Callithrix jacchus: one gene and its partner. The protein of the gene in region 2 interacts with the protein of the main gene of each other region in a biochemical or structural test. Links are inferred from orthologs where the notes say so. Each region holds a gene or a part of one and is shown on either strand. Other genes may lie near its edges.

Evidence for each region.
Region 1: the proteins of RGS4 (region 2) and GNAO1 form a complex in vitro, tested with the Homo sapiens proteins (2 studies listed by BioGRID). The link is inferred for Callithrix jacchus from reciprocal best matches to the Homo sapiens genes RGS4 and GNAO1.

What each region holds. Positions count from the first base shown.
Region 1 is NC_133521.1:14,195,856-14,211,718, reverse strand, and holds part of GNAO1 (guanine nucleotide-binding protein G(o) subunit alpha), read right to left. Parts: intron 11,385-15,863; coding exon 11,224-11,384; intron 6,302-11,223; coding exon 6,173-6,301; intron 4,382-6,172; coding exon 4,252-4,381; intron 340-4,251; coding exon of another isoform or gene 186-339; intron 1-185. UniProt on the Homo sapiens protein: Guanine nucleotide-binding proteins (G proteins) function as transducers downstream of G protein-coupled receptors (GPCRs) in numerous signaling cascades.
Region 2 is NC_133519.1:38,560,064-38,575,205, forward strand, and holds RGS4 (regulator of G-protein signaling 4), read right to left. Parts: upstream 10,940-15,142; 5' UTR 10,645-10,939; coding exon 10,587-10,644; intron 10,323-10,586; coding exon 10,046-10,322; intron 7,205-10,045; coding exon 7,100-7,204; intron 6,810-7,099; coding exon 6,748-6,809; intron 6,160-6,747; coding exon 5,993-6,159; intron 5,315-5,992; coding exon 5,075-5,314; 3' UTR 2,882-5,074; downstream 1-2,881. UniProt on the Homo sapiens protein: Inhibits signal transduction by increasing the GTPase activity of G protein alpha subunits thereby driving them into their inactive GDP-bound form. Activity on G(z)-alpha is inhibited by phosphorylation of the G-protein.

The DNA of each region.
Region 1 (15,863 bases), on a different chromosome or scaffold from region 2:
ATGAGGAAGCCCCAGCTAGTTGCTCCTCCTCGCTACAGCACAATCTGGAGGCAGGGTGGGGGCCTGTTTGCGTGGATCCCCTGAGGCAGAATTGGGTGCATCCACAGAGTGCAGGAAGGGTGCACTGGGCTTTGGGAACAGGGCCCGCTCCCTTGGGGTCCTGCTGTCCTTGGAGGGGTCTCTACCTGTATATTCAGGAAAGCAGATGGTGAGCGGGGACTTCTTGATCTTCTCTTCAAAGATGTCCTTCTTGTTAAGAAACAGGATGATGGACGTGTCTGTGAACCATTTGTTGTTGCAGATGCTGTCGAAAAGCTTCAGGGATTCATGCATGCGGCTCTGCAACAGAGTGGAGGGCGAGTGAGGGGCGGCGCCTTCAGGGCCCTGACCCACCGCGGCCACCGACACAGCGGGACAAGCAAAGGGAAGGTCCACCAATGAGGCTGGACGCACCACCGGGACGGAGACAGGAGGATCCACAAGGACAGATGGGACGTGGTCCTGTATCATTCCACACGCAGGCAGGGTGGGGCGGAGCAGGGCCGGGCAGGGTGGGTGGATGCTGCCCCCTTCCAAAGAGAGCTGGCCCCGGGTGGGGGCAGTGAGGTCACTGGAGAGGCTCCAGCTCACGGAGAGGACATGCACCATGCACGTACAGGGCAGGGGCTGCAACCACCACCGAACACGTCTGCGTGGAACCCCAGTCATGCAGATTTCTCTACCGGGTCTCATTCGGTTTCAACAGCAAGGTTGGGAGGGTGCACGCATTTGGTTGGGAAACATTAACCGAGGACTAAAAGATCCTCGAATTAATTCCGAGTTGGAAGCAGACACCAGGGGGATAGCGTCTCGGGGGTGAGCTTGCTGTGGCCTTGGTGTGCTTGGTGGTTTCGGGTGGGGGAGAACTGGTTGTTGGCGCTGGTTTCTCAGTAGAGGGGCCAGAGGAACCCCAAGATGAAACACAGCAAAACAGATCAAAACAGAGAAGAAGATAAAAACCCAACAAGAGAAAGAGAGAAAAATACTGAAAAAATGGTTCAACCAGTCTCAGGGCCAGGGCATCCCAGCCAGTTCATGCCGAGAGCCCCATGAGGGCTCATGGGGGCGAGGGCCATCCTGGGCCTGTGGACCGCAGGGCAAGAGATGCAGGATGGGTAGGATGAGCCCAAGCTAAGTGGCTGGAGAGGAGTGCGGGCGCAGGGGCGGGCTGGGCAGGTGTCACAGCAAAGTCACCCAGCGTCGCCCTGAGAACCTGCTGCTTTCAACTCTTAGCTGATGGATTCAGTTGGAGGGAGGTGCTTCATACCTTCCGGGCTTGGAGGGTCTCTCAGAATCTGCTCATGGCTTTGGCCTTGGTTTGACAAGATAAGGCCCTGCAGGCGGTGGCGGCGACAGTGGTAGTGGAGAAGTGGTGGCAGCCTCAGGCCCGGATGGGCGGCGCTGAGAGCAGGTACGAGGCCAGGACCAGGCTCTCGGGCTCCCGGGATGCAGCGGACGGGGCGGCTGGATGTCCAGCAGCAGCCACTACCAAGGCTTTCCTGGCCTGGCTTCAGGAGCTGCTTCCAGATACCTCTGCCATGGGCTCTCAGCCCCACTCTCACCCCAGGCCAGAGAGGGGACATGCAGCGCTGACCAGAGAGGACGGCGGAGGACCAAGGCAGATAGCCTGTATCCTACAGAGCTCCTATATCCTAGAACCTAACCTCTAGCCACGGCGTCGGAATGCAGTAGCCGCAGCAGCTATTCACTGAGTGATGATTCCCCCATGCAGGCACATTTACAGCTCTTAGCCCTGTGGTCTTCACATGGCCTGTGAGACCATTCTACCATTGTCACCATTTACAGGGAAGGACATGGAGGCCTGGGCAGGGTGGGGTGGTTGCCCATGATCACACGGCTGGCAGGGGTGACGCTAGACCCTGGACCAGATCTGCCTGACTCCCAAGCTGCCCACCTCTGCATGCACCCCCAGCACATGGCGACTGCTTAGTTCTACAGTCGCGGTATTGTTCTTGCTGCCACCACAGCACTGAACTGCCTTTGTGGCTGCTGTCAAGTTGCAGTCATCCCTATTCCCTGCATGAGCTGCTGCTCTTCCCTGGGCTGCGAAGGTGGCCAGCTTTGGGGAAGGAAGAATACCAGGAAGAGCCTGCCTGTGACCTTGGCTCCATTTGCTTTGGCTTCTCTAAGGTCCTCTGCTCCAGCCCTTATGTGGAAGAGTGGGAGGAACAGGGAAAAAGGGAGGTGAGAGAAGGTGGAGAAGGCTGGAGGGCAAATACTCCAGGCAGTAAGGCACAGACTGGAAGGTCACCCAGCGCGAGGCCCAGCACCAGGCTCATGCTCACTGGGGACCCATGGGTGGCAGAGCTTGGGCCCGTGGCTGCTAGGCCCACCCAGACGTCCCTTTGCTTCCATCCTCTAGAGGTGAGCAAGAGCCCAGCCCCATGGCCGGCGGGCCTGAGACTTGGGTTGAAGCCATCCACAGGCCTGGCAGGGCAGGCCCAGGGAGAGGCTGGATTCCAGGGGGAAGTGCCCTTCCAGCTTCCTCCCTCCAGCTTCTTTGCTCTCTTTGAAACCAAGGGGAGAAAGATGAGCCAAGTGGAGCTCAGATCCCAGGGGTTGGAGCAGTTGCCTTAATAGCATAGAGTCCAGCAGCAGGCAGTGGAAAAGTCTGGGCAGTCACTATGCGGGGCGCATGGCCAGGAGGCTGACCTGGGCTTTGGGTGGTCAGTGAGTCTGGATCCAAGTATGGCCCAGGAAGTTCATCCACCCTTGCCCCACTCAGCATCAAGACTAGGCTGGTGACTGACATCACTGCCTGCCAATGCCATTGAGAACAATTACAGCAGAAACCCAAGTCAGGGGTGCAGGTGGGCCTGAAACAGGAAGACCCAGGTGGGTGAGCCTGTATACAGAGCGGGTCCAGACTACCTACACCACTAGCCCAAAGCCCCATCACTCTGCATAAGCCCCACAGGGCGGCGGCTCCTCCTCCCTATAGCACTGTGCCCCATAGCCTATACCCCAAAGCTCATCCCATCCTCACAAAACCCTGGGGACCAGCGGGGCCAGAACTGACAAGGAAACAGACCCAGAGAGAAGACAGGCCTCGCTCAAGGCCCAGCATGACAACGAGCCCCACCTCAAACCTCAAACCCTCAGTGCCAGCCCTCAGAGGCATGCGGTGGGGCATCTGCATGTGTTCCAGACAGAAGGAGATGACAGATGCCTGTGACCCCATGGCCTATGGGCCCCGCCGTCAGGAGTGTTGGGGCTTATCTCCAGTGACCCTGTGAGCCATGCTCAGTGCCTGGTGGGCTGCAGACCAGAAGGGGACCACACAGTGGACACGCAGGCTGAGGGCAATCACCAGCAACCGTACAACCACCAGCTTGGTGCTGCTGTTCCAGAAACAGTTCCACAGTGCTGCACGTGGATCACCCATCCCACTGCCAACAGCCCCCCACAGGCAGGTACTATTATTATCCCCCTTTTATGGAAACTAGTAACTGAGCCAGAAAGGTGCTGCCTAAATTCAGCAGCAAGCCAGTGAGTAGCAGAGCCAGGACTAGGCCCAGAGGAAGGCTGCACTCTCCCAGGGGAATGTTTCCCTGCTGAGGCCTCAGGCTGAATGTGACTCGAGACAGAAGGTAGGAGCCTGGTCTGGCATTTGGCAAAGGAGCCCAGAGCCACAACTGTCACTCACCAGCATGCCTCATCCCTATTTCCCTTCCCGGCCCATCAACCCCGCACACTGCTCCCCAGCCCCCTAACCCCACACAACTCTCCCACAGCATCCCCGGCCCCACTCTGCTCCAGTAGCATCTGAGGCCAGTGCCCCAGGGATGGCTGTCAGGCTAGGACTGCTATTTCTGTTGCATGTACATTCTTGCTTGGCTGCCTTCTGCTTTTTTTAGGGTTTGCTTAATTTTGCTCTGGCCTGATGGCCTCTGTGACTCTGCCAAGTTTCACATTCTTTATGGCTGTGTGTGATCAGTTTGCACACACAGGCTCTGGGCCAGGGGCCCATGAAACTCTTTGCCACACTGGCATCATGAGGCACTTGCCTTGGCAATACAGAGTGGTGGAGTGTTCTGGCACGTTCCACCCATGATGGAAACCCCTAACCACAGCAGCTGGCTGGACCCCAGAGCCACAGTGGACACCTGAGGGCTAGCGCTCACAGGGCTGACCTATCCTGTGGCTGCCTCCTCTGTGCTGCCCTCTGCCCAGGGGGCCCAGGCCACTCACCGTGGTTTCGTCTTCGTGGAGCACCTGGTCGTAGCCGCTGAGTGCGACACAGAAAATAATGGCTGTGACGTCCTCAAAGCAGTGGATCCACTTCTTGCGTTCAGATCGCTGGCCTCCGACGTCAAACAGCCTGTAGGAGGCAGGGAGCTGGTGGGCACAGGGTCCAGGCAGGTGAGGGCTTCCTGGGGGCCAAGCTGTGAGTGTGCTGAGAAGATGGGGACTACGGCGCTCAGAGCCTTGCTAGAAGCCCTCACTAGCAGGCCTTGTCACTCCAGGTGCTGAGAGACAGCTGGACCACTGCCATCCCCAGGCACTGCCCCCAGAGTCTGTCCTTGGACTGGCTGTGCTCACATATCATAACTCAAAGACCTGCCCTTGCATCTGAGGCATTTTACTAAGAGGGCGCATCCAAGCTGGCCCCCAGGAAGCGCCTCTCAGAGTCCTCCGCTCAAGGTGCCTTCAGTCTATTCCTTCCTGGGTTTGCTCTCGGCAAACCAGTCTGGGAGGGAGGGAGGCAGGCAGAAGGTGTCACCTGTTATATGGATGGCAAAAGTGAGCCATCCACAGGGTTAAGACATGCCCAAGCTGGTGAGAGTCTAGCTGCAGTGGAGCTGGGTCTGGCTGCGGACAAAGCTGGTGCTCTCACCTCTGCCCAGCACAGCCCCTCTCCAGCAGATCACCGCCTGGTCTCTTCCCACTCTCAAACTCCACCCCCGAGGGGGCACAAAAACTGTTGGAGAGACTGCAGGCAGGTGGGACTTACACCCTGGAAGTAAAAGGTCAGTTGCCCACCCCAACCCCCAGAGCAAGGAGCCCTGCAGCCTCCTAGATCTGGGAAGCTGACACACAGCCGGCCAGAGGGGGACAGGGAAGGATTCCTGGTCCAACTGGACAGAATGGAGCAACTGCAGGCAGAGATCAGGGACTGGAGAAAGGAATGGGTCTGGTTCTTACCCTATCACTGCCTCCCCTGGATCCCACCTCGCCATCTGAAATGCAGGGGTGTTGGGAGATGGCCTTTGTGGCCCCTCCAGAATGCTTATTCTCAGACCCTGCCCACTGGGCCAGGTTTGGCAAGATCCCCATCCTGTGCTCCCAGTGGGGGAGCAGGAGAGACCAAGGAGCCTGGGAAGGCAAGGAAGGCCCCTCAAGGCTGCTCTGCCCAAGGTTTTGCTCCTCAGATCCGTGGAGGCCTAGGGGTTCCTGGGCCCAGAGCCTCGCCCCCTCAGTCTGAACAGTAGTGGGCAGGGCTGGGCACATGAGAGGCAGGGAATATTAGAAGCCAGTTCTCCCAGGAGGGGATCTCTGCCCCCCACTTCTCTGCTGGCCTCTGTTCCCCACAGGACGGAGCAAGGGCTCCCAGGCCTCAGTGCATGCAGGTTACTGCAGGTGGGGACACAGCTCTGCAGCAGGTTCCAGGAACCAGCTTACCCATCAGGCCCCTGCTCTGAGACTCCAGAGCCCCTGGGTTCTAGCTGTGCTCTATGCACATGTACCAGGAGAGAGTCGGTCAGCTCCCTCTGCTCCTTCCAGCTCTGGGATTACATGGGTCCTCAGGGTCTCACAGATGTTGCTTAAGCTTACCCAGCTCCCTTCTCAGTGACCTTGGAGGGGCCACCTGGTAGTCTACCTCCTCCTCCTCCTTGGAAGTCACCTCAGGGGCAGGCTGCCCTCCTTTGTTCAAATTCTCCCTGTTCGTCAGAGCCCCACTCTGAATGTTCTTCTAGGAAGCCTCCCTGCTCATCCCAGCCCCTAAACTTGACAGAAACTGACAGGTTCCTTCTGGTATCCAGCTGCCTGCCCCAACCTGTGGGTTCCCTGGGGAGGACGATGTCTGGGCGCTGCAGACGAGTTGTGCTAAGAAGCCGGATATGTCCCGTCTTAGCCCTCGCCAGGGTCTGGGGGCCTCCCTGGGCCTCACCTGAAGTGGAGGTTCTTGAATGTGAAGTGGGTTTCTACGATGCCAGTGGTTTTGACCCTGGTTCGGAGGATGTCCTGCTCGGTGGGCTGGTAGTCGGCGGCCCCAATCCGATCCAGGCTGTCCAGGTAGCTGGGGATGGCAACAAACGGGACCATGGACCAAAAGCCTGGACACTGCTTGGGACTGGCCAGGCCACCCACCTTCAGAGTCCAGTCTTGGCCAAGGCCCTCCAGGTGACTGTGGAAATGGCACTGCCTCCATCCCTGGCCATGGGGAGTGGGGACAACTGAGGAAGAGGATCTTACTTTGGCCTCGCATTCTCAGAGGGCCTCTCATTCATAGCCAAAAGGCTATGCACGCAACTCTGGGGACACTCAGACAAGATCAGACTTTTACATGAGACTACCATGTTTATAATAATACTGTGTTGTCATTTCTTCATTTAAAAAATAATAATGGCCAACAGATAGGTTCTATTCTTTCCATGTGTAACTGTATTTCATGCTTCATTTCCCTGAGTTAAATGTTCTAAAACTGGGGCTCATTGAAGGTAAGTACCTGGCCTAAGACCATGACCCGGATACTTGGCCCCAGAGGCTATACTCTGATACTTTCTAGGGCTTCAGAGGCCCCCGAGCCACTCCCTGCCTTTTCCACACTTCCTTCTCACTTACCAAGGGGTCTGTGTTCACCTTCCCATTTGACATTCTTGGAGGCTCAGGGCTATACAGCCACACAGCGGCTGGGCCTCCCTGGGACCCAGTCTTTGGAATCAGGGCTCTTTATCCGGCTACCTCTTGCTGTGGGGACAGACCAGGCCTTTGCTCGTCACCTGCCCAGGCCTCAGGCCTAGCACTCAAAGGATGCTGCCTGCAAGGGCTTTGGGTTCATTATGGGTTAAGTTTGAACCTAATGCCAGGGTAGTATCTGGGAAACCAGAAAGTGGAGAGCTGGGCCATGCCTGAAGGAAGACTCAGGGATCCACGGAGACTGCCAGGCCACCCCTTCCAGCTGTCGGGATGAACCACATGCAGCCCACAGGGAGAAGCCCTGAGTGTCTGTGCCACAGGATGATGTGGGGTCCCAGGCTGCATTTGCTCCAGGACCTGCTGGGGGCCAGCTGGCTGGCTGGACCTACAGTCACCACTGCAAAAAAGACGGGCATGCTGACCAGCTCATGGACGCCCACAGGGCTAGGAAGGGTGGACACCTTCACCAGATAGGGTGTTCACTGATAGAACCCAGTGAGAATCCTTGTGAGAATTCCCGTAAGAAAATAAAACAGAATGGTACATTCCAAGGCTCAGGGAGGTAAGCCTGGAGTCACACTGCAAGAAAATGAACTTGGTGATGGGGAGCAGTGGCTCACTCCTGTAATCCCAGCACTTTGGGAGGTCAAGGCAGGCAGATCATGAGGTCAGAAGTTCAAGACCAGCCTGGCCATCATGGTAAAACCCAGTCTCTACTAAAAATACAAAAATTAGCTGGGCATGGTGGTAGGCACCTGTAATTCCAGCTACTTGGGAGGCTGAGGCAGGGGAATCACTTCAACCTGGGAGGCAGAGGTTGCAGTGAGCCAGGGTCACACCACTACACTCCAGTCTGGGTGACAGAGCAAGGCTCCATTTCGGGGAGGAAAAAAAAAAAAAAATTAACTTGGCTGGGATTCAGCCCAGTTCTGACTAGCTCCAGACCTCATACTCTTAAACTGGACTCCATGAGCATTTTAAAACACCAGAAAAAAAATTTAAACAGGACTCTGGGCCTCCTTTCCTGTGCCTGACTGCCCTCTATAGAAGTGACAGTGTGGGGATGGGGGTGAGGGAGCCGAGGCTGCAGAGCAGACCTGTATGTGCCCCTGGCCTCTCAGCCTCCTCGCCAGCCAGTGGTATCTGGGCAGGCTCTGGCCTCAGCCAGGAGGAGCCCTCCCAAGCCTCTGTGCCTGTCCCACCCTGGTGCTCGTGGCCTCTGCTTCCAAGCTGTACTAGACGCCCCCTGCTGTCATCTGCAGCTGGCAACAGCCTGGAAGCCACTGGTCCTGCTTCTCCTTTCCTAGCCAGGGCAAATCTTCAGACAGGCAACCTGGCCCTTTGGCCTCTCTATGCTGGACAAGCCTCATGCAAAGAGATGTGGAGGGTAGGGCGAGGTGTGGGAGAGCTGTTTAACGATCCAGTCAAGAAGTCTATGGAGACTGCCCCGTCCCCAGCACCTGGAACAGTGGTTACTGACTGTGCTTCTAGGATGGAGCTTGGGGACGGGATGTAGCAACCTGAGAAGGCCTCCCCTGTCACCAATCCGTGGGCAGGAGGCAGCGAGGGAGTCTGGAAAGGGCAGCCAGAGAGGAGGCAGGTGCTGGGAGTGAAAGGAGGTCCCAGGAACTGGGGGACTGAACCCTGAGTGGGAGGAGGCTGATGGAGAGGCCCCCAGGATAGGACTGGGCTAAGAGCCATCTCATCAGGGGAGGAGCAAGAGCCCAATAGGAGTGGAGTCAAGAGAGGAGGTGAGGAGAGGAAACATCGGCCACTGGCATAAACAACTCACTGGAGAACCGGATTTGAGGAAAACCAATGGCAACCAGGCCCCAGAGCACCTTTCACAGACCCTGGTTGGATGTGCCCAGAGTTTCTGGGACCTCCCTCTAGGTGACTATCCCGAGGGGAGAGCCAGCCCTGTTCACAGAGGCCGGAGTGCACCAAGAGCCTTCTCAGGAGCCTGTGCCCTGCTCCCTCCCCTGCAAGGGGCTGGGCAGAGAGGTGCTTGGTGGTTGGGGCATTAGGGTGGCAATGGCACCCTGTGGAAGCATGTGCTATGGCAGCCCTGTGAGGCCTCCCTCTCCCTTCCAGCATAACAAATCTACTCCGATCTGCTTTCTATACTGGGTCCAAGACTTTGTCAGAAGCTGAGGTCTAACTGCTAAGATAGGAAATGTGCCAGATCCTTCTAGCCCTGACCGCTTGTGTGTTTCCTGCCTTTCCCACCCTCTCCCAGAGGGAAGACACAGAAGGCCCAGCCATGGTGACAGAAGAGAATGGTAACATCACCAACCTTGGAAGTGGAAAATTTGAAAGAAGGCAGAGACGAGGGTGCGGGGAGGAGAATTTCCTCAGCTTACTTGGTGGGGAGTTGACAAATACTGACTCAAGTTTCTTATTCAAAGTTATAAAGGTAAGCAGCGGAAGAACTAAAAATAATCCTGTAACTAGCAAAAAGCCGGAGGTGAAGGTGGAGAGTGGTGGAAGGAAGGAAGGTGAGCTGAGCTCCCTCGATTCCAGAGTGGGTGGCAGTAAATACTATTTTGAGTTGGAGGATCAAGTTTTCTAGATGCCACTGGGACAAATAAATGGATATGGGTAAAAGTGGGAGGGACAGAGCTGGTGGGGGGAGTAGAAAGAAGACTGCATCTCGTTTTATATCCCTCTGCATTTGTTTAAATTTTTTTTTTTTTTTGCAAAGGATTCATGTTATAATTAGTGAAATGGGTAAAAATGTAAGTGGAGAGCAGGATTTGGTGAGCTACTAGAAGACAGATTGGGGCCAGCTGGCCCTAAGGGCCCTTGAGGGTCCTGCAGGTGGCCAGCTGAAAGTGACTCTCTCCTGCCTGGCTCCGATCTGTGATTTGAGTGTGCACAGGGAATGGTGGACACCGAGCCTCTGGGCTCACTGCCTTGACCAACAAGGTGTTCCTGGGAGCTCATCAGGCCTGGGGGCCTAGGTAGCCATCACCTGGGACTCACAGGACTTTGGCATTTGCCCTGTGGACAGTCTAGGTGTGCAGAAATGGGAAGTCGCTCCCGGCCTTGCTCAAGTCCCTAGTCTGTTAGCTGTCATGTGGCCCGTGGAAGTGGCCAGGAGTGCACATTGGCCTCAGCCTCTGTCCAGTGGCATTGCGCAGATCAGGGTTTCTTAATCTGGGCAATATGGAGGTCTGGGGCCACGTAACTTTGTTGTGGGGGTCGTCCTGCACACTGCGGGATGTTTAGCAGCATCACTGACCTCTGCCTGCTAGATGCTGGCAGCACCATCCTAGCTGTGGCAATCAAAAATGTTTCCAGATGTTGCTGAATGTCCGCTGGGGGTAAAATGGTCCCAGCTGAGCCTGGTGAAAATGGCTGGACTGGATCATGTCAGAGCCTCTTCAGCTAGTGGGATAAAGCGCAGGGGCTCCTTGCAAAAGCCCCCACTGAATGTGTGGTATCAGATTGCAAAAGCAGGTATGTTTCCTGAAAGCCAAGGGAGAAATCCCAGTATCTCCATGACAGAAGACACGTCCCTGAGTGACACTGACTATCCCAGGGCTCTGGAGCCTCCAATCTAGGGGCCAAGGGCACAGAAGCAGTCAGGATGTCCTTGGAGATGCCTAGAGTGATCAAGCTGCATCTGGCGGAACTGTGACCCTGCTGTCACGGGACAAGTGAGGAGTACCTTCTAACCAGCCCTGGCTTTTACCACTTCCCACCTCTCTATCTCTTCTTCTTTCTCCCTCTCTCCCTTCCTTTCTTCTTTCCACCCTTCTATCATCCCCCTTATTTAGTTATAACACAGTATTAAAGTATACATTTATTATATTAATTAGACTTATATAACTCTTATTTTTAATTTTAAAGATAGAGGAATGGAATAGCTTATTATTTTCTCTATAATAAAACAAAATGGCACCATTTATTTTCTGCCTATATGGCTCCTGGTTTGGTTTATATTTATGGGGTCAGGGCTCCCCATGACAAAACAAAGCTGCTACACTGAAAGCAGTCTTTCTGCAGTGCCAAGCACTCTCCGGACAAGCCAGTGACAAGGTCCCGGCCCTCTGGGAATTTCCACTGTTTGGTTGTCTCTTGTGCCCTCTGCCTTCTCTGGCCTTTTCCTCCCCCTGGGGGCAGGAAGAGAGGCCCCTTCTCATTCCATCCTGACACCCCCGACCTGTGGCAGAACATCTCCCGGCAGGCATGACCTCAGCTGAGAATCCTCTTTGCTCTGCCAATCCCCATCGCCAATCCCCCTCCACTCCTGTGTCAGCGCCTGGCTGCAGGGCGCCCGCCCATGGGGACACTCACTATTTGGCAGAGTCGTTGAGCTGATACTCCCGGGACCGGTTGAAGCACTCTTGGATTCCTGAGTCGCCCCAGAGCCGCATCATGGCGGAAAGCAGCTCTGCAGAGAAGGGCTCGGTGTCTTCCATCCGACTTACCACATCACACACCATCTTGGCGTCAGCCTGTTAGGAGAGATGGATGGCGGGCTTTAAGGCTTTGGTGAGGACAGAAGACCCCTGCCAGCCAAGGGCTCTCCCCTAGCTGGAACTGTGATGAGGGCCCAGCCAGTTCAGCAGGACCATAGCTCAGCCCACAGCCTGCTCCTCGGAGGGCCACGAACTGAGCCTCCTCAGTAGGGGTTCCTGGGGCCTGTGGGGCCTTCTACCACATGGACGTCCTTAAAGCAGGAGCTCCAAGCTGCAGCCAGTGGAGCCCCAGAGTTTTCCCAGGCAGTGAGGGGAGAGTGGGCTGGGCTCCATTCTCCACCCTCAACCAGCAGCTCTGCTTTCATCCTGAAAACTTGGTATTTTGTTTGGGGAAAATTGAAAAAAAAAAAAAAAAAAAAAATCAATGTCCTTGGTTGAGTTGTACTTTTCTATACTTCTTACGCAGGGTGGAATGGAGTCCCTAGAACTGGGCTATGTGGGGGAGCAGGCGTTTCGGTGGAGAATTCCGGTTACCTGAGGGATGGGCCATAGGGGGACTGTGCCTCAGGGCTGGGGGAGGAGAGGGGCTGGTCGCTGAGTTAGTGCAGATGGCAAGAACCCCTCATGCCAATGTTAAATCTCAAGAACTTTGGCCCTTGGATTGCTCAAAGCCAAAAGTCCATTTTTATTAATTTATCTTATTTGTTTGTCACCTGGGCCTACCTTTTTCTGGGGGCAGGGGAAGCCCCCAGGTCAGGTGAAACAAGGGAAGGGGAAAGGGACAGGTAATGTTTGAAGTGCTTTCCTTCTCTGCCTCCTCCCTTCCTCCTTTGTCTGCGTGGGTGTAGCTGAATTTGCTTAAGGTGCACACGTGTAGGCTGAGCCTCCTTGGAATTACAGAAAAAGTACTGCATAATTAACAGTTTTTTTCCCCTTCCCCTTATCCTGGATACCAAAGTGGGGTCACCTGTTTTCAAAGACTACAATCCCATACATGTAACACCACAACCAGAAGTGTGGTGGTCTTTAAAGATAAGACTTCTCCTGCAGACATCCCGGACCGCACCATCTCTACCACCTTGCACACAGGAGTAGTACTTAGTGTACAAAGGATTTGGTTCACACACTGTCCCCAGAATGTCCCCCACCTCAGGATCAAGTGGCAGGAGATGTGTAACCGGGCCTTTCACCCTTTGCTCTGCACCTCTGCAGCTCCTCCTGCTAAAGGCAGAGTTTATTTCCTGTCTGTCTGATGTTGAGTATGGCACAGGACTTGCTGTGGCCCACAGAATGGTGCAGGAGTGGCACTGTGCCAGCTCAAGAGGCCGTGTGTATTTCTGATCGTCCTTGTGGGCCTTGCCATCACCATGAATATGCCCAGGCTCTGTCATTCATCCTAGGAAGAGGACCTGGGGAGCACAGTACAGAGTGGAGCCTGCCCTGGGTCTCAGATGTGCAGCAGAACTAAGTGGCTGGGTTTAGGAGAGGTTTGTTAGATGGCATTGCTGTGGCACAGTTAATACAGCAGTCACTGTAGTATTACCAACCCCACTTCACAGTGGGGAAACTGAGGGCCACAGAGAGGAAGGCACTCACTTAACAACACAGATGATGAGTGGCAGGGCTTAGACTCAAGATGAGGAGCCTTCGGACTCCAGGGCCAGCCTCTATGGTCAGACCCACCTGTGTTAAGAGCACCCTGGACGGCCGACAATTCCTAATAGAGGCGTCTAGATCACATCTGAGCTGGCCTTGCCCAGGAAGGTCTGTGCTGCATCTGAGGCAGCCACAGTCTTTAACGTCCAACTTGAAGCAGGTAAGGGCAGAGCAGGTGCTGCCTCAGGCTGCCCTCCTGCCTCTGTCCATGGAGCTCACTGCCTTGGGTGTATAGGTGGCTCTATAGTTTGGGAGTTAGTGCCCAGAACAGACAGGAATGGGCAAATACCCCACTTCCTTGCCCTCCTAGGGAGGCAATTCTGAGACAAGCTCCACAGTCGGACAGGATCCCAATGGGATGGAGCCCCAGCTGCCAACGTGGCAGGCCACACATGAACTCACCTTCATGGTTTCCTTCCCTTGCTGGTGGCTTCCTCACTCCCTCGGTGCTTCCTGAAATGACCCCCCACATAAACTCCTTGTCTTACCCAAATCCTTATCTCAGGTAAGCTTCTAGAGGAACCTAAACCTCTAGAAGCTGTCTTGAGGACAGCAAACTCCTGTCTCAGCCCAGGCACCACACATATCCTGTCTGCTCTTCACATGTCTCTGTGGCTGACAGGACTTTGCTCAGACCACTCTCCTAACCAAAATACAAGGTGGCCACCAACCGAGTGGCCCCTCTGTCCCTGGCTGAATCCTAGCAGGCCCTGAGAATACTCCTGCCTGGTGACCACTGCCTGCCCGGGGCACCATGCTTCAGGGTGTGCACGAGCTGAGTGGCACTGTGAGATGTCCCAGCGACAGGGAGAGGTGTGGCTGGGAGCGCAGGGCTGGGCCAGGAGTGTGTGGGACCCTGAGTCCTGTGGAGTCCAGGCCAGCTTCCAGTCCAGGCCAGGCCCTGGGAACTAAGTATGAGATGCCAACACAAGGGAGAGGGTTGATTAGTGGAGGCAGTGGCTGGTGGGCATGTGACCATGCTGGGTCGCCTGTAGTCTTTCTCTGGGATTTTTCAAAGGGAGAAGCTTAAGAGGATGTGCCCCCAAAGTCAGTAGTATCACTGAGACCAGTGTCCCCCAACTCATGGAGAAGCTTCTCAGAATAAAGCTACCAGAAAGAAGCAGGGAAGTGTCATGGTATTTAAGGTCCCCATGGCTGGGTCTCCTTACCCTTCATGTGACCTGGCCTGTGAGCCCCATCCCATTAGTTCCTGCCATTCGCACTCACAGAGACCCTAACTACTTTCAGACCCAAGACAAGCTGCTCAGTGCTGGAGGTCGGGGGAGGGAGCTTCTCTAGCCACCTTCCCCCTGGTTTCAGCCTGCATGAGTCCTGGAGCCCAACAGAGACTGAGCCCTCACTACGGTCAGGAACTGGGATATTTTATTCATGCATACATTATTATTATTATTATTAGAGATGGAATCTCGATCTTGTTGCCCAGGCTGGAGTGCAATGACATGATCTCAGCTCACTGCAACCTCTGCTTCAGCCTCTGGAGTAGCTGGGATTATAGGCATGCACCACCATGTCTGGCTAATTTTGTATTTTTAGTAGAGACGGCGGTTTCTCCATGTTAGTCAGGCTGGTCTTAAACTCCCGACCTCAGGTGATCTCCCCGCCTCGGCCTCCCAAAGTGCTGGAATTACAGGTGTGAGCCACTGCGCTTGGTTGCATGTGGTGTTATTACTAGACAATTATTCTGCCGCAAACTCTTTCAACTTCCAACCTTCTGATTAAGCCAGAGGAGAGACAGACTGCCCAGCCCATGACACGTGGCTCTAGAAGTGAGTGGGAGGTACTGAAAGTCTGCAGATGTCCTTTGGGGTGGGAGAGACACAAAGAAAATGAGGTCAGCATCTGGAAGTTTTGTGGCCAACAAAAGGTCTATACAAATGAAGTGTGGGGCCAAAGCCTTCAGTGGAGACTCTTCCAGAATTAAGCTGTCTGGCTAAGCGCTATTTACATGTCAGAGCCTGTCCACTGCAGAAGGGCGGTGAGAAAGTTCTGACAGCTGTGCCCCCTCCCCACTGCCTGTCCTGGGAAGGAAGCTACAATGGTGCGGAGGCTGGAAGGCCAAGTCCCCATGCTGACCTGATCCAGCTCCCGAGGGTCAGTATCCCTAACACCCCAGCCCTTGGAGTCTGGCTTCGCCCTTACACGGCAGCAGTAACCTGGAAAGCTGGCCCTGGGGCTTTGGGTGCCCCAGGCAGGCAGGGATGACTCAGGGCAGCAGCTGGTGGGTGAGCAGGGGTGGCACCTCCACCTGGGGCTAAAAACAGCACGAGGCCTATGAGTCAGGGACCTGCAGCGATCCTGCTCCCCGTGCCCGGCTGACCTCGGGCAATCTTGGGGTGCTTTCTTGTCTGAGGAATGTGGGTGGTGGACCTGGCCAGAGTTTTCCAAACTTCCTTTTTGGGCCCTAGCTTCATGGTTTCTGCAGATCTGTGGAGCACCTGAGTCAGAACAAGTCAGGACCTGAGAGCAGGACCTCCCCTGGACCTGAGGATCACACGCTAATGTGGGGGCCCTGGGGCCACAACAGTTTGCAGGAGGACACTCAAGAGGGTTCGACTTACAAACTGAGGCCAGAAAGCTACTGTGCTCCCACGTTTGTTCTTCCATGCATGGCATGGAATTTAATGGGTCCCACTTCAGTAGGTTGCATTCTACAGCTTAGGGACAGCTGGGCTAGATGATTTCCTGGGATTCTCTAGCAGACAGCCCAGGGGTCTAGGCCTTCCTGTTTGGAATGGGGAGGGGTCCTGAGCCGGCAGCAACCCTCCCCCCCGCCCCCCAGGCCCCAGTCCCCTGCCCTTTCCACTCTCTCCTGTCTTCCCTATTGGCTCAACTGCTCAA
Region 2 (15,142 bases):
TTTGGAGGTGAATTTCTGGGTTTGACATAGGCTCTACCACTTCTTTTGTATATGATCTTGGGCAAATTTTTTTAAATTTCCTATATCAAAATTTCCCCATCTACTCTGAAATTATATTAATGCCATCTGCTCCAGAGTTTCGTTATAAGGATTTAATATGGTAATATAAAGCTGTAAAGCACTCAGCATAGGCAGGGCATAATGTAAGATACTACTACTGCTATTATTATTATTTTATGAGAGGGAGTCTCACTCTGTCACCCAGGCTGCAGTGCAGTGGCGTAATCTCAGCTCACTGCAACCTCCACCTCCTGGGCTCAAGCGACCCTCCTGCCTTAGCCACCCAATTCACTAGGATTACAGGCGCATCCCACTACCACCTGGCTAATTTTTGTATTTTTATTAGAGACAGGGTTTCACCATGTTGGCCAGACTCGTCTCGAACTCCTGACTTCAAGTGATCTGCCTGCCTCAGCTTCCCAAAGTGCTGGGATTATAGGCATGAACCACTGCACCCAGCCCTAGTGTTAAATTTAAGTCTCCTTTGGAAATCAAGTTCTCTCTCTAGGCATTGTTTGCCTCCATTTGGGTGCCTTAGAAATAGAATAATTCCTGATCTCAGATCTCCCAGTAATCTCTTTGAATGCAAAATTTTAAGAGTCTCATTGCTCTACCTGAGCTAGCCGGGCAGCAAAATTTAAAGAAAAACTAGATTCTAATTCTAAATGGATTCTAAATCATCTCATCTGATTTTTTTCTTATATCACAAATAGAAGTAAACCCAATATTTTCCTTCCTCATGTCATATTTCCATGCGACATCTCAATGAGCAAAGCAATGCATATTACAACATCAGATAATTTAGTTGTTTACTTGTGGTTTAATGACCTGAGCAGATTCATGCTTTGAATTCAGCCTCTGAAATAAATGAATGGTGCAGTTTAGTTTTATGATGTGTTTTAGAGTCAGGCTCATCAAATGAGCCACTTTATCTGACTGGCTTTCCTCTGCTGTGACTTTTCATCCACATGTTTGGTATGGGCTGAGAAGTAGTTGATTTCACCTTCAAGGTACTTCTTTTTTATTTCTTTTCCTTCCCCTTTCCTCTTTCATCCTTCTATAGTCACGTTTCCAACTTTAAAAATCTAAGCATTATTAACATGCAGTGCCAGAACACAGCCTGAGGCACCTTGGCCAGTGTTTCCCATCTTTAAAATTTAAGGGGAAATGCTCATGATTAGCATCTATATCTTAAGGTTGTTGTGAGAATTAAGCGTGTTATTTATAGAAGGGCCAGTCACAGAACAAACAATAATAAATGTTTTTCAAAAGGTGGTCCTTGTAATACATATCTTCAGAAAAAGGGTCAGCCAATATTTTTTTGTTTCTTTAATAGAGAAAGAATGAGGGAGGTAGACTGGGGAAAACGGCACTGCTCACACTTGCTGCTAATAGCAGTGACTTTGAATTATGCAGCAATTCTTTTTTTTTTTTAGGCAGAGTCTCACTCTGTCGCCAGGTGACAGGCTGGAGTGCAGTGGCACAATCTCAGCTCACTGCAACCTCCGCCTCCCAGGTTCAAGCAATTCTCCTGCCTCAGCCTCCCAAGTAGCTGGGACTACAGGCACACGCCAGCACGCCCAGCTAATTATTTTTTTTGTATTTTTAGTAGAGATGGGGTTTCACCATGTTGGCCAGGATGATCTCGATCTCTTGACCTCGTGATCCACCCGCCTCGGCCTCCCAAAGTCCTGGGATTACAGACTTGAGCCACCGCGCCCAGCCTACCCTGCAATTCTTGATTATCAAATAGAGTGTACAGCAACTATACAGTCTCAGTGAGAGTCTGACACATCTGTAGTGTAAGAGAAGAATGATAGTTTGGTCTGTTTTGAGGGGAGATTCTGAGAGTTCCCTCTAAATGTGTATGAAAAATTTAGATTCCTCTATGTATTTTTCTTAAAAGATGGTCAGGTCCATAGTTTTTACCAGATCCTTAAAAGGATCTATTACTCGGCTGGGCGCAGTGGCTCACGCCTGTAATCCCATCACTGTGGGAGGCCGAGGTAGGTGAATTGCCTAAACTCAGGATTTCAAGACCAGCCTGGTCAACACAGTGAAACCCCATCTCTACTAAAAAAAATACAAAACATTAGCTGGGCCTGTAGTCCCAGCTACTCACGAGGCTGAGGCAAGATAATTGCTTGAACCTGGGAGGTGGACAGTGCAGTGAGCTGAGATCACACAACTGCACTCCAGCTTGGGCAACAGAGTGAGACTCAGTCTCAGAAACAGGGATCTATTACTCAAAAGTGTTGAAGAGCATCCGTGCTTAACATCTTGTACTACTCTTACAATGGGAAAGAAAGATGATGAAATGGGAGTCTCATGACACAATAAACACAGCACACGTTGCCTATCACTGAGGATGTGAACGTTCTGTGACCTCTTTTCCAGGAAAGAGAATTATTAAGAGAGAGGGAAGGATTTTGAAGTTTGGGTAAGAGTCTATAGCTCCTTTCAGCCCTCTCAATTTCCCACTGCTCTACCATCTCTCAAGCAGGCAGGTCATCGGAAGTAAAAGAACACTTCTGGAAGGTGAACTCTATCAATTGAAAATCGATTGAGAATCTGCAAGCAAATCACTTAATCTGTTTAGCAGTGTCTGAAGCTAAGATTGCCTTGGTTCTATGAGGAAAACCAGGCAGAGCAGTGGCATGAACTAAGGAATAAACAATATTCAGTTTATGCTTTCTTTCCCAGTTCACTGGCATAGGAGGGATTAAAAACTCGGTTTGAGTCTTTTTCTAAAGTCACCCTACACTCTGATGTTTCTCATAACATGTCTCTGTGGATCATTAATGTGTTTCCAAGCAAATAGTTTCATATGGAGCGTTTATTTACCCTTATTATTAAGATGCATGTGTTTCACTGGAAGCATCAGCTTTGAGGCCTATAAAGCACATTAGAGAAATATGCATGCAAAAGGAAGTAGTAATCTGTCCAGAGAGCATGAGCAGGCAAGCTCACCATAGGAAATAGTGATGAAACAGCAGGGAAATACAACCGAAAAACACACTCAAAAATGTATTACATAAAATAATTTACTTCTCATTCAGAATGACCTTCCAGACCTATTGGTAAGACAGCAGTCTGTGAGTTCAGATACAATCTGAAAGTCATGACAATTATAATAGGGCAAGACCAATAAAGTTACACATTTGAAGTCAACTAGAGACAAAATTGTGGAACTGTGTATAACAGAAAATGACACTGATGAGGAACTGCAGGGATATTAAGGGCAAGATTGCCGGAGAGACAAGAAGGGTACAATTAGAAAATCTACATCTTTAATACAGTGATATTTGTATGCACACACTCTGTGTCTTCATTTTGCAGCCCATTACATTGGCTTAAAAGCCACAAAGGTACTCATGCATGTAATTTATACTGGAGAAACAAATGCAGTGTATGTGGATGCATGTGTGTGCACTTTCAAAGGCAGTATTTTTAGAAGAATGAGAAGAAAATTACTTCCTGGGCATTCATTAATAATACAGGTGATATCCTGCACCTCCATTTATAAAACAATATAATAATAAAAGCTTGTACAAAATAACATCATAAATAACATAAATGAGAAGTTTTCAAGTATTTCAATGTGCCTTGAAAAGTTTCAAACAGTAGCTCTAACAATTGGTTAGACGATGATTTTTTTTCTTTCCTTTGCCTCCCATTTAGTCTCAGAGCCTAAAAAGAAATGCTTCAGTCTCTGTTAGCCCTGATGTTTGGAATGAAATTAACAAGATTCTACCTTGGAAGAGAAAACTTACGTGGGCTCTTCAAATTGTGAAAACTTGTTTCCCTCTTATAAAATATAATCTTTCCCCTGCTGCTGGTTTATAAATATAGGCATATAGCCCAGAGCCATTATAAAGAAACAACAACCAACCACAATAAACTAAGAAGCCTCATCTGATGGCTAAGGTTCTCAGGAAAAAATGAGAAGAGCACCTTGATCAGGAGAGGAAAAAAGGATAGAGGGTAAAAACGGTAACCTTTAACTTCTGCGCACTCTTTCAGCCAGTAACTTATGGTAGGTGTGGCTGGTAAGGCCTTCACTGCATTTCTTCATTCAGCTCAACAGTCTCCCCACTCCGTATCAACCCAGCTGCTAATAAGCATGCCCTGGCAGCCTAGGAGCTCAAAAGTGCCATCAGTGAAAACCAGCTCAAAGGAGCTAAGGTATTTGCTCTTTAGAATAGTGCTTGAAGTGGAGGCTGTCAGTGGTTAAATCAAGCGTGAAGTTCCTTGGATGCTTCTCCAGCGAGATCCATGGAATTTTACAAAACCAACTTTCCACAGGTTAGCATTTCTTTCTTAGCCTACGTGGCAGTTAGTTCATTTTGCCCTGTTCAAAGGTAGTATGAAAGAACAGAGATCGAAACATGCATGTAAGTACATACACATACTCTAGTTATGAGCACCTAGGATCTTTCCCATCATTCTTGCAAAAGTTTGTGTGTGTATATACATACACTCATACATATATATGTATACACAGACATCTATATACAGAAATAATGTATATATGCGTATGTGTACATATATATCTATATATATATATAGACATACACACAAGCACATATCACAGATCAACCTCATCTAAACATCTAGTCTGCAGAATGTGCTGGCCAACAGAATACATGTGCATGTGGCTGTCATGTGACATGCACTAACCAACTAACCCAAGATAAAACTGTTGGGAGGAGGAAACTGCCAACTATCTTTGAAAATCCAGATTGACCAGGCCGTGATTTAGATATTTGCTCCCATAGAACTCTCAAAGAAACTTAGGGAAATTGGACTGGGATGGGGTCCCACCCCGATGAACACTCAAACACCAAAAGCTATATCTAGTTTATGCGTGGAAGTGACTCACACATGGCAGGCAGCATGACTATTAGGCTACAATGTGGATAAAGCACTGGAGCTTAATACAGATCAATATTTGGCCTCAGGTTTTCCAGAGCATTGAGTCTCGGCATTTCATCCCTCTGCCTCCATGTGAGAATCAGGCACACTGGGGGACCAGGGAAGCACAGTCTGCGGAACTCTTGGCTCCTTTCTGCTTCTCTGCCCCACAGCTGGAAGGGTTGACCAAATCAAGATAGAATCGTGACTTGAGGAAGCGGCGGTAGGAATCCTTCTCCATCAGGTTGAAAATTTTCTTCTGGGCCTCATCGAAGCAGGTTATTGTAGGCTCCAACATGTTCCGGCTTGTCTCTTCCCTGGTGCAAGAATCCAGGTTCACCTGAGGGGCAAAGGCCAAGACTCCATTAGACCTATATCCCGATGGGAGGCTGCATGCTTTGTAGCGACTTGTAAGTGACTGTGTACCCACCATATTTCAGAAGTGAAAAACAAAAGTGACATCAGGCTCGTCCCTGGCACATGTGAGAGAGTATAAAAGATTCATTCTGTTTCAGAGTAGGGAGGGCAAGATCTTCTGTTCTAACAAATTGGGGAGATTCATCAGAAAACTTCATGAAGGGAGGTTATGTAAGTCACATGGACGAAGGAGATTTTTTAAAAATCTGATTTATTTGGGGTTGTCAAGATTATGATAGTCAGCTCCACTATTCTAGGAACCTTCACCAAGATCCAGAGAGTTCTCTGCCATAAAAGCTTAACTTTTTGGTTGTTTGGCTAATGAGTAGAAGGAATAGACAGAAAGCCGGATAGAGGGAAAAAGTTCTAGTGTTTGATTGCATAGCAGGCTGATGACAGTTGTCAATAGTTCTTGCTGTATATTTCAAAATGGCTAGAATAGGAGATTCGGAATGTTCTCTAACACAAATAAATGATAAATATTTGAGACATCTATGTACCAATTGCCCTGATTTGATCATTACACGTTGTATGCATGCATCAAAATATCACACATACCCCATGACTAGGTACAATTTTCATGTATCCGTAAAAAACCCACCTCTTTGGTTGCCTGGACTGAGATGAATTCATTATAGATCTTTTTGGCCTTGGGACTTAGTTTAGATGGTGATTTGATTTTCTTGTACTCTTCACAGCTGATCCAGAAGTCAATATTCTCCTCACTATATTCAGACTTCAAGAAAGCTTTGAAAGCTGCCAGCCCACCTGTGATACAGAAGGAAGGACCACAGTTGTCATCACACCGGCTGGCCTCTTGGATATGAGATTTCACATAAAGCTGAGGTACTTGGGGAAATAAAGCATGGGTTCAAGCAATCCCTTATTTCATCCGCTTTTTTCAAGTCACTTGGAGTCAGGTAACCCTAATCTGTGTTTGATGTCTAGTGGATTCCAGTTCTACCTAATGATTCACACTCAAGTTTGAAGCCTCTTTCAAGAAAGTATTTCGTTTCTGAAATGCCTATGCAGCTATCTGTTACCAAGGTGGATATGGGAAAGAGAAACTGATATTGATTTTGCAAGAAAATATCAATATTTATCATTTTTTTCTCTCTTCCCTTTTTCCTTGTGATGAGAGAGCTGATTTCCTACATGGTTCCTGTATAAACTTTTCATTGTATATCGCAAAGCTCTAGGGCATTTTAAATTTTAAACAGACTGAATATAAGACCAAAAGGGTCTCCTGAGTCTGAATATCAGAAAGAAGCCAGGCCTTGCTGCAGTTACTAACAGAGCAGCACGATATAACTTGTCTGATCTAGAGTACCTCATCCAGGTTGCTGTCAAACTTACATTCATGACTAATCAGGTTTTCCAGTGATTCAGCCCATTTCTTGATTTCCTCTTGGCTCACCCTAGAAAAATTAGAGAGAAACAGAAAATAATTGGAATACTATGATACAAAATTGGGGCAAGAAATCTAAGATCCTGAATGTAAAGCAGAGATTTTATTTTCCATCATTATTACAAAATATATTGTTGATGAGGGCAGTTTTTCACTAAATGTATAGAAATTTCGAATGTAGTTATACTCTCCATGAAAAGGGGGGCTCTCTTGGTTCAAATCCAGCTTAAGTAGGAGCACAACACATCTATCATCAGATAGTTAATACTCGATAGATCTTCACCAGGCCTTTTCTCTTACCTCTGGCAAATAACCACTTTGTCCTTCTTGCAGTGAGAAGAATTATGTTCACAGGAATCAGATTTCTGCAGCAGGAAACCTAGCCGATGTTTCATATCTTTTGCACTGCACAGAAGAGGAAAAAAAGAATCAATTATGATAACCAACTTTCATTAAGAGATACCTAATGGTAGAGCTTCAAGAGTCCATTACTAGTCTATGGCTCAGAGGCATTTATTTAGGGAATAGGAGTTGGAGGTGGCATGAACTCTGAGGAAAACAAGATTCCGCTTTTGGTTGCCTATGACTTGCTACAAAACCTTGAGGCACAGTCATAACACTAGTTCCTTCATCCACAACTTGAATTCTGACCCTTCAGTTTACCTCAGAAATCTCAGAAGCCTTTGTATGCCGGTCATTTTGACCAACAGAATACCTTTGGTATCTTCAATAGAACCACACTGAAAACATGAGTGATCTCTGAGTAATTTTTAGGAATCAGAAGGCAGCAGCTGCGAAAGATGCACATCCTTGCTGCACGCCACCTTCTGGCAGGTGATTGCCATTTCCATCTGTCTCCCTGCTGGCAGAGAGGGAACTGTAGAAGCACCTCAGGAAAGTAAAAGTCTATTCCGTTCCAGCCCTGTACATGGTGGGCCAAGCAGTCCCTGCTGTGGGGTATGCAGGGAGAATACACTGAGGTGCGCAGCTCCAGCAGAGGGAAATGGAACATGGACGGTGAAAGCAAATGCCCAAGCTGAAACCTGAGCTCCTTGGGGCTTCTTTGTAGACAGTACCTGCTGCTGCTGCTGCTTTCCTATTTAATAGCTACGTTAAAGGACATATACACTATAAAGGGCATTTGGGGCTTAAAAACTATAGGGAGAAGGAGGCTAGAGACATCACTGAGCTTCTAGTTTATTGCGGCCGTTTTAATAGGTAGCCAGGGCACAACAGGGCTCCGGACTAACTAGAAAAACGGGGTCCTTTAATAAGCCTTAAACTCAACTCTCTTACTTTTTCTTAACTATCCTCTTGCTTGCATCTCTTTTATTTTAAAAGCCAAGAAATAATTTTAAAAGAGAAATACCATTCTTTAAAAAATGAATAACTAAATGTTCCTATTTGGAGCAAGAAAAATAAAGCCACAGAGATATAAAGACATTTAGGATGACTACTAATACATTAGTGGCTTATGTGTGTAGGTTTTCCCAGAAATTCTGAATTCCATTATGTTCGCTGACTGCCTCTTAAATAGTATTTTCTCTTCCTCCCAAGACTACTTTCCCTCCTCTGCCTCCCTGACTGATGACTGGTCAGGGGATATACTATCCTTTTTGATGATAGTGAGATATAATCCTGAATGTTAGGGTAATTCCGAGGTGATAATATAAGTATATCATGAAGTCCAAATAGAAATGAATTCATATTTCCATGTGCTGGATCCACCTGAGATCTGAGAGCTATTGATCAATGCAGGGGCTAAGTGTGCTTAGCAAGTATTCTTATAATAAAACCATAAAAATAAAAACCAAAATGACTTCAGAAGTTATTGGAGCCAGGAAATCTAGATTTGGCCCTAACTCACCCACCATCTATGTGACCTTGAGTAGGAGATGGCTCCTCTGGAGCCTCAGGCACTGGTGGTAAAGATGTTGCACTAGACCATTTGGAGTTTACTGGTGAGGAAAGGGAAGAGCAGCTCATCTGGCTAACACAGGGTTTACCTCCTTAGATTAGCTGCTTAACTCTTCAAGGGCAGAGCTCTAGTACTACCTTTCTTTATCTGCCTTGCAAAATATTTACCAGAGCATAACTTCTCCTGACCCTCTTGTATTTTTGAATGGTTCATTTTATATGTAAGTTAACTGAAGCTTGAAGTGATTTGCCCCCCTCCATTCAGAAAATTAATCATGAAGGTCAGAGGCACTTATTTCATACTCTCTGCCAGACCCTCCTGCTTCATTTTAAAGAAGCCATTGACACTTCCACACTCATGAATGACACAATATTTGAAAAGTAAATGTTTGAATAGTACATAAAACATTATGTTTTCTGAAATTATTTCCAAAATAAAAGTTGTGGTAATTTCTATTTGCAGGGTGATAAGAAAGCAGGTATATACCTCTAGAATGACTTTTTACCTTTATCTGCAAGATTAAGTAATGGAATATGCACTCATTTTGTGTTTCATTTTCAAGTGGCTAATATACGATCATTCTCTGAATGCATTTGTTTATGCTTTTAAAAGCATAAACAAATGCATAACTGTATGCCTGTAAGGTGTTTTAAAAACATTAAGAGAGCATACTAACAAAACAATGTCTTTAAGGTGAGATCTTCTACAAAACTGTTAACTGATTTGTAATGATCAGTACTTCTCAACCACACTCATCTAAGATACTTTAAGAACTAGAGATAGAGCAGAGAGATACGGAAGATCTCATTGTAACATTTGATTATAAGAACATAGAGAGTGAAAGATACTGAGCACCACACAGAAAGCATAATGCCTTTCCGATAATGCAGCCAAACCTCATTATGGGGTACTTTCCCTCAAACAAGATGTAGCGTACAATCAGAAAGCCCAGAGCCAGGCTTCTATATACTCCGGGGATGCTCAAATAACAGTAGGAATCACAGATGGAGATATTACAGACCACTATCCATAGCCTCAAACCTTATCTCACTTCTTAATTAAAACTAGCTTGCTTAGACCTGGCTTAAAGAACAGAACGGTTACCAAAATTGAGGTCATAAAACAACACGTAAGGACTGAAATTTGGGGAGCACATGTCTTAAGTCACAGTATCTAGCTTGTCTTGGAGGAAGAAAGTTAGGAAGTCATTGCTCTCCTGACCACATTGTTTCTAACTGCACAGAACTAGGTTAGTAAGTACAACATGTAAATGACTGAGAAAGTCTATCCAAAAGTTCAGCATGGTTAATGGCTGAAAGCAATCTTACCTCCTCAAGCAAGAAGCCGGCAGACCTGCAAGCCCTTTGCACATCTTATTTAACAGCTTGGGATTTGCAAGCAGAAAAGAAATGCGGCAGGAGGAGCTGTGGCTTCGGCTTTGAGCGTACTTTGCCTCTTCTCCGGCAAAGATACTGTCAGAATTCTCTGAGCGTCTTTCTCCCAAGCCTGTAGGGGTCTCTTTTATAGCCCAGCTACGACCATCCAGCCAATCAGACGACAGCTCTGCAGTACCAGCTCCTCTGTCTCCCTCTGCCTCTCCAGCCCCTGAAAGAGACGAGGAAGAAAAGATTGACGCATCAGCAATGCTAAGCGAACGAGCAGAGAAAATCCTTCTGCAAAGTAGGCAGACAGAAAAAAATGTACTCAACGTCTCTATGAATGTCAAAGGTTTAGAATTTCTAGAAAAGGAAAAAAAGCGTACAATGCTGCAAAATATAGTATTTATTCATATATCTATTAAAAAAAAAAACAATATCAAGGAAAGTTACCTCCTGAAGGAAAAGTACCAGCAAAAATTCTGGAGCTTACTTAGGAGTTGACTCCCAATGTCCTTCCTCTTTTGGATTAGAAGCATCATATTATACATGGTCCAAGGTCTGATCTTCACGGTTTCCAAAAGGGAGTTGGTAGGATCATCGTCTCCATGCAGCGATTTGCAGAAGTTGCCTTGGTTGTTATGCAAACAGGAAGGTGGAGAGCAATAGCTGGATGACAGACAGTTATAAGCCCGGCAGCAAAGAGAAACTAGCCTAGGAAAAATAGATTCGCGCTATCTGTAATCAACCCGACTGCGGAATACTTTTCTAGAAATCTTGGTAACAACAGAATTCAGCCTAGCACTGACAGTTTCTCCTTTACATGCCTGCATCCTATAAAAGTCTAAAACAGCAGCTCGAGGACCAAAGGAGGGAGTAGATGAGCAAATACACACACCAATTCTTATTGGCAAATGGGTTTATGTCTTATGTAACTCTAAGTCTCCAAACTGCTATCTCAAAAGATAAAGAGGGATGTACAGAGAGAGAGAGAGAGCAGGCAGAAAAATATGTAGTTTGCCTTATATATCACCGGCCTTCAAACTAATCATATCAAGTCCTATGGGTGCTTCTGAACACCTGGACAATTAGTATCTTTTACGTACAATATCATGGACTGAAACGACTGCGTGGACAAAAACATTCAGGCATTTCACATCTTATGGCCAGATATCAAATACCTACACCAGAGTTACAGAGGGATCTTTTTCATGGAGGAAAGCTATACGTGGAAGGGGGGAATGAATTGCTAAGTCTGACCAGAACAGCTTTCATTTTGAAAGCAGATAGGTTCCTAATCATAGGCTACCATGAGCTGTTCTTTATTTATAAGAAACAGAGGCATCAAATGGTTTAGGTGGAAGAGGTGAAAATAGTTGGGTTCCAGTGAAATGCAAAATACCAAAAATATGGAAAGAATGGCACAAAGCAATGCCCATACGTGGCCCTACCTAGTACATGCCCTTGAACATCCTACGCTGCCCCCAGTACCACCTCCTTCCATGACTAGCAGAGCAAGAAGACAGCAGACAAATATAAAATGGTGGAGGGACCATAATCCACAGAAGATGCATTTAAATTATAGGAAAAAGTCTCTAGCTGCCCATAAAGATAGAAAGACGTTTTATCAGATTAGCTACTGGGCAACTTTTCCTTGAATTATAACAGAACAAATGAAAGTTGACAGCCATCCCTGATGGTGGTATGGAAGGAACTGCAGTACAATGTGAAATCAGGGAGGTCATCAGACCAAGGAAGACGAACCAGGGAGAAGAACCAGTCAGAACTGACATCAAAGAGGACAGATTAATTAAAAGGGAAAGAAGGTCACTCAAAGAAGAACCATGACCTTCTTTGTTTACCTACGCACCTAAGAGAGTGATCACTCAAATAGATTGATTTTGGGAACATAAGCGAGGACCCAAGAAGATTTACTGATGTCTGAAATTCTACAATGAGAACTTTATGTCTTGGACTTAGAATAAGAGAAGCCTGATTTGTCACGAGTTAAATATAAATCACTGCAATAGATGGGACTTTAAAGGCAATCTAGCCTAACATCCTCATTTCACCAAAAAGGAAATAGAGACCCAGAAAGAGAAAGTGACTTGCTGAGGTTACAGCTTCTTACTAACGGAGCTGGGTCCAGATCTAGGTGTCTCTATACTCAGTTATGTGAGTTGTCCGCTGTGCTATCCTGTAACTCAACAGTCTGATCAAATGAGATAAACTGTATAAATAGAGATATTTCCAAACTATAAAAAATAATTTTTCCTCATTCTATTATACACAGTAGAGAATAGAATCCAATGTTAATCTTACATCTTTTATTCAAGGACTGCTCACTTGCCCAATCTGTTCTTGCTCCGTGAAAGCGGGAGTTGCAGCATACCTCACTGTGCTAGTTCCCTATTAGAACCAGGTCTTCTAACCTGCTTAACTCATTACTCTGTTCAGGCATTTCATATTTACTCACTTCTTTGGCTATTAAACCTTGCTTTCTTAGGAGTTTAAAACTTTAAAAAAAGTGTTTGTAAAACGCTTCACATGAGTTAACTTATTCTTTCACTGTGGGACTTGCAGATTGTGTTTGAGGAGGCGAGGGCTGGTACATCATGATACCTTGACAACCTTCCACCTTCTTTCTCTGATATGCACAAAGCAACGAATTCTGTTATTCTATGATTTGTCAATCCTGGGTGACTCTGGTAGTATAGAAGGGCTTTACTCTCAAAAGATCTACTTGTTATTTATTCATTTGTTTAAGAATGAATAAATAAAATTCATTGGTTTACGAAATATCTTTTGACACCTACTCTGTATCAGGTACTGTTTGAAGAACTGTATTTAGCATGGTGAACAAGCAGGCAAAATCTCCGCCCTAGTAGAGTTTTCATCCCAGTAGGAGGAGTCAGAAAATGAACAAATCAGATGATTCCAGATTTTGACCTGTACCATGAATAAAATGGGCAGGTGATGTGCTAGAGGGCGATCAGATGGTGAAGGACTAATTTAGCCAAGGTGGTCAGGAAAGGCCTCTTTAAAGAGGGGGCATCTAAAATAAGATTCGATGAGTGAGAAGCAGAAAGCAATGCAAGAAGCCCAGGAATGAGTATTCCAAACAGAAGTAAGAGCGAGTGCGAGTGCACTTTACCTAAATTGAGAAAGAACACAGCCATAAAAAGAAATGAAATCGTGCCTTTTGCAGCAACCTAGATGGAACTAGGGCCATTATCTCCAGTGAAACAAGTCAGACACAGAAGGACAAATACTGCATGTCGTCACATATAAGTAGGACCTAAATAATGTGTACACATGGATGTAGAGTGTGGAATGATAGACAATGGAGGCTCAGAAGGATGAGAGGGCAAGAAATCAGTGGATAGTGAGAAATTACTTAAGGGGTACAATGTACCTCATTCAGGTGATGGATACCCTAAAAGCCCTGACTTCACCACTATACAGTCTATGCATGTAAAAAGAATATTTCACTTACAACCTATAAATATACACAACATTTTAAAATTTTAAAAAAATTGCGGAAGAAGAGGAGGGAGCCAGCATAGCTAGGGAATTGAGAACATGATGGAAGTAGCATAAAAAGAGATGGAAACGTAGACGACAGATCCTGCAAAGATTTGTAGGCTGTTGTCAAGAGGCTGGACTTTATCAAAGTGCAGTGGAAATCTACGAAAGAAACAGAAGCAGAGGAAGGGCATGATCTGATCATTCTGACTCTTTTGAAAGAATGATTGAGATGAGTGGGCAGAGTATCAAAGCAGGGAGACCAGTTAGCAGAGTTAGCAACTTGAATCCTGTCTCATCAATTACACACACACACACACACACACACACACACACACTAGATGGAGTCACCCTCTGTCACCCAGGCTGGAGTTCAGTGGCATAATCGTGACTCACTGCAACCTCCACCTCCCAGATTTAAGCAATTCTCCTGCCTTGGCCTCCCGAGTAGCTGGGACTACAGACATCTACCACCATTCTCAGCTAATTTTTGTATTTTTTAATAGAGACGGGTTTTTGCCATGTTGGTCAGGCTGGTCTTGAACTCCTGATCTCAGGGGATCTGCCCATCTCAGCCTCCCAAAGTGATAGGATTACAGGTGTGAGCCACTGTGCCTGGCCACAAATATTTATTTATTTATTTTATTACTGTACTTTAGGTTCTGGGGTACATGTGCAGATCACACAAGATTGTTGCATAGGTACATACATAGGAAGGTGGTTTGCTGCCTCCGTCCCCCCGTCACCTACATCTGGCATTTCTCCCAATGTTATCCCTCCCCAATCTCTCCACCCACCCACATAAAAACAGACAGTTTCTCCTGGGTCTTTGGGTCTTCATTTTTGAAGACTCCCATGTCATGTAAAACTTTAATTAAATAAATTGTTTACGCTTTTCTCTTGTTAACTTGTCTTTTGATATAGGAGTGTTGGTTGCGACCCTTATGATGGAAGAGAAAATGTATCACAGGTTTTCACTCCTACTGCGGCTTTGGGGGAGAAGGAGAGATAAATGAAGATGCATGGATACGCTGAAAACTAAAGTATGTTTCTTGTGACTCTGAAGACCAAAATTTACTCTGCAGCTGATGGGGGAGAAGCGGTAGCTCAAGTACTTAAGCCAATCGGGTTGGTGTTCTAGAAAGAAAACTTGGGAGGCAGAGCAAAAGAACACATTGGATATGAGAGAAATTGGCAAAAAGTTTGAAGGCTCTTATAATAGTCCATCTGAAAGGTGATATGACAATAAAAATATGAACAGGATTGTTGTGAGAATCAAATGAGGTCATGTATAAAAGTTCCTTAAACTGTAAAATGCTAACATCTGGAAGGTATTGTTGACTTTGACGACAGGCTTTAGAAGAACCGTTTCCTACTGGCGGACGTTAAGCCTCACAGCAGGATGTGAATTATGTGTGGTCTCCAGGTAAATTTCAATTTTTTCCAGCCTTTGCTCAGGGAGAACAAAAGAAAACATTTCTCAAGCACTGACCGCATCAAATACAAGGAAACAAGTCATTGTGG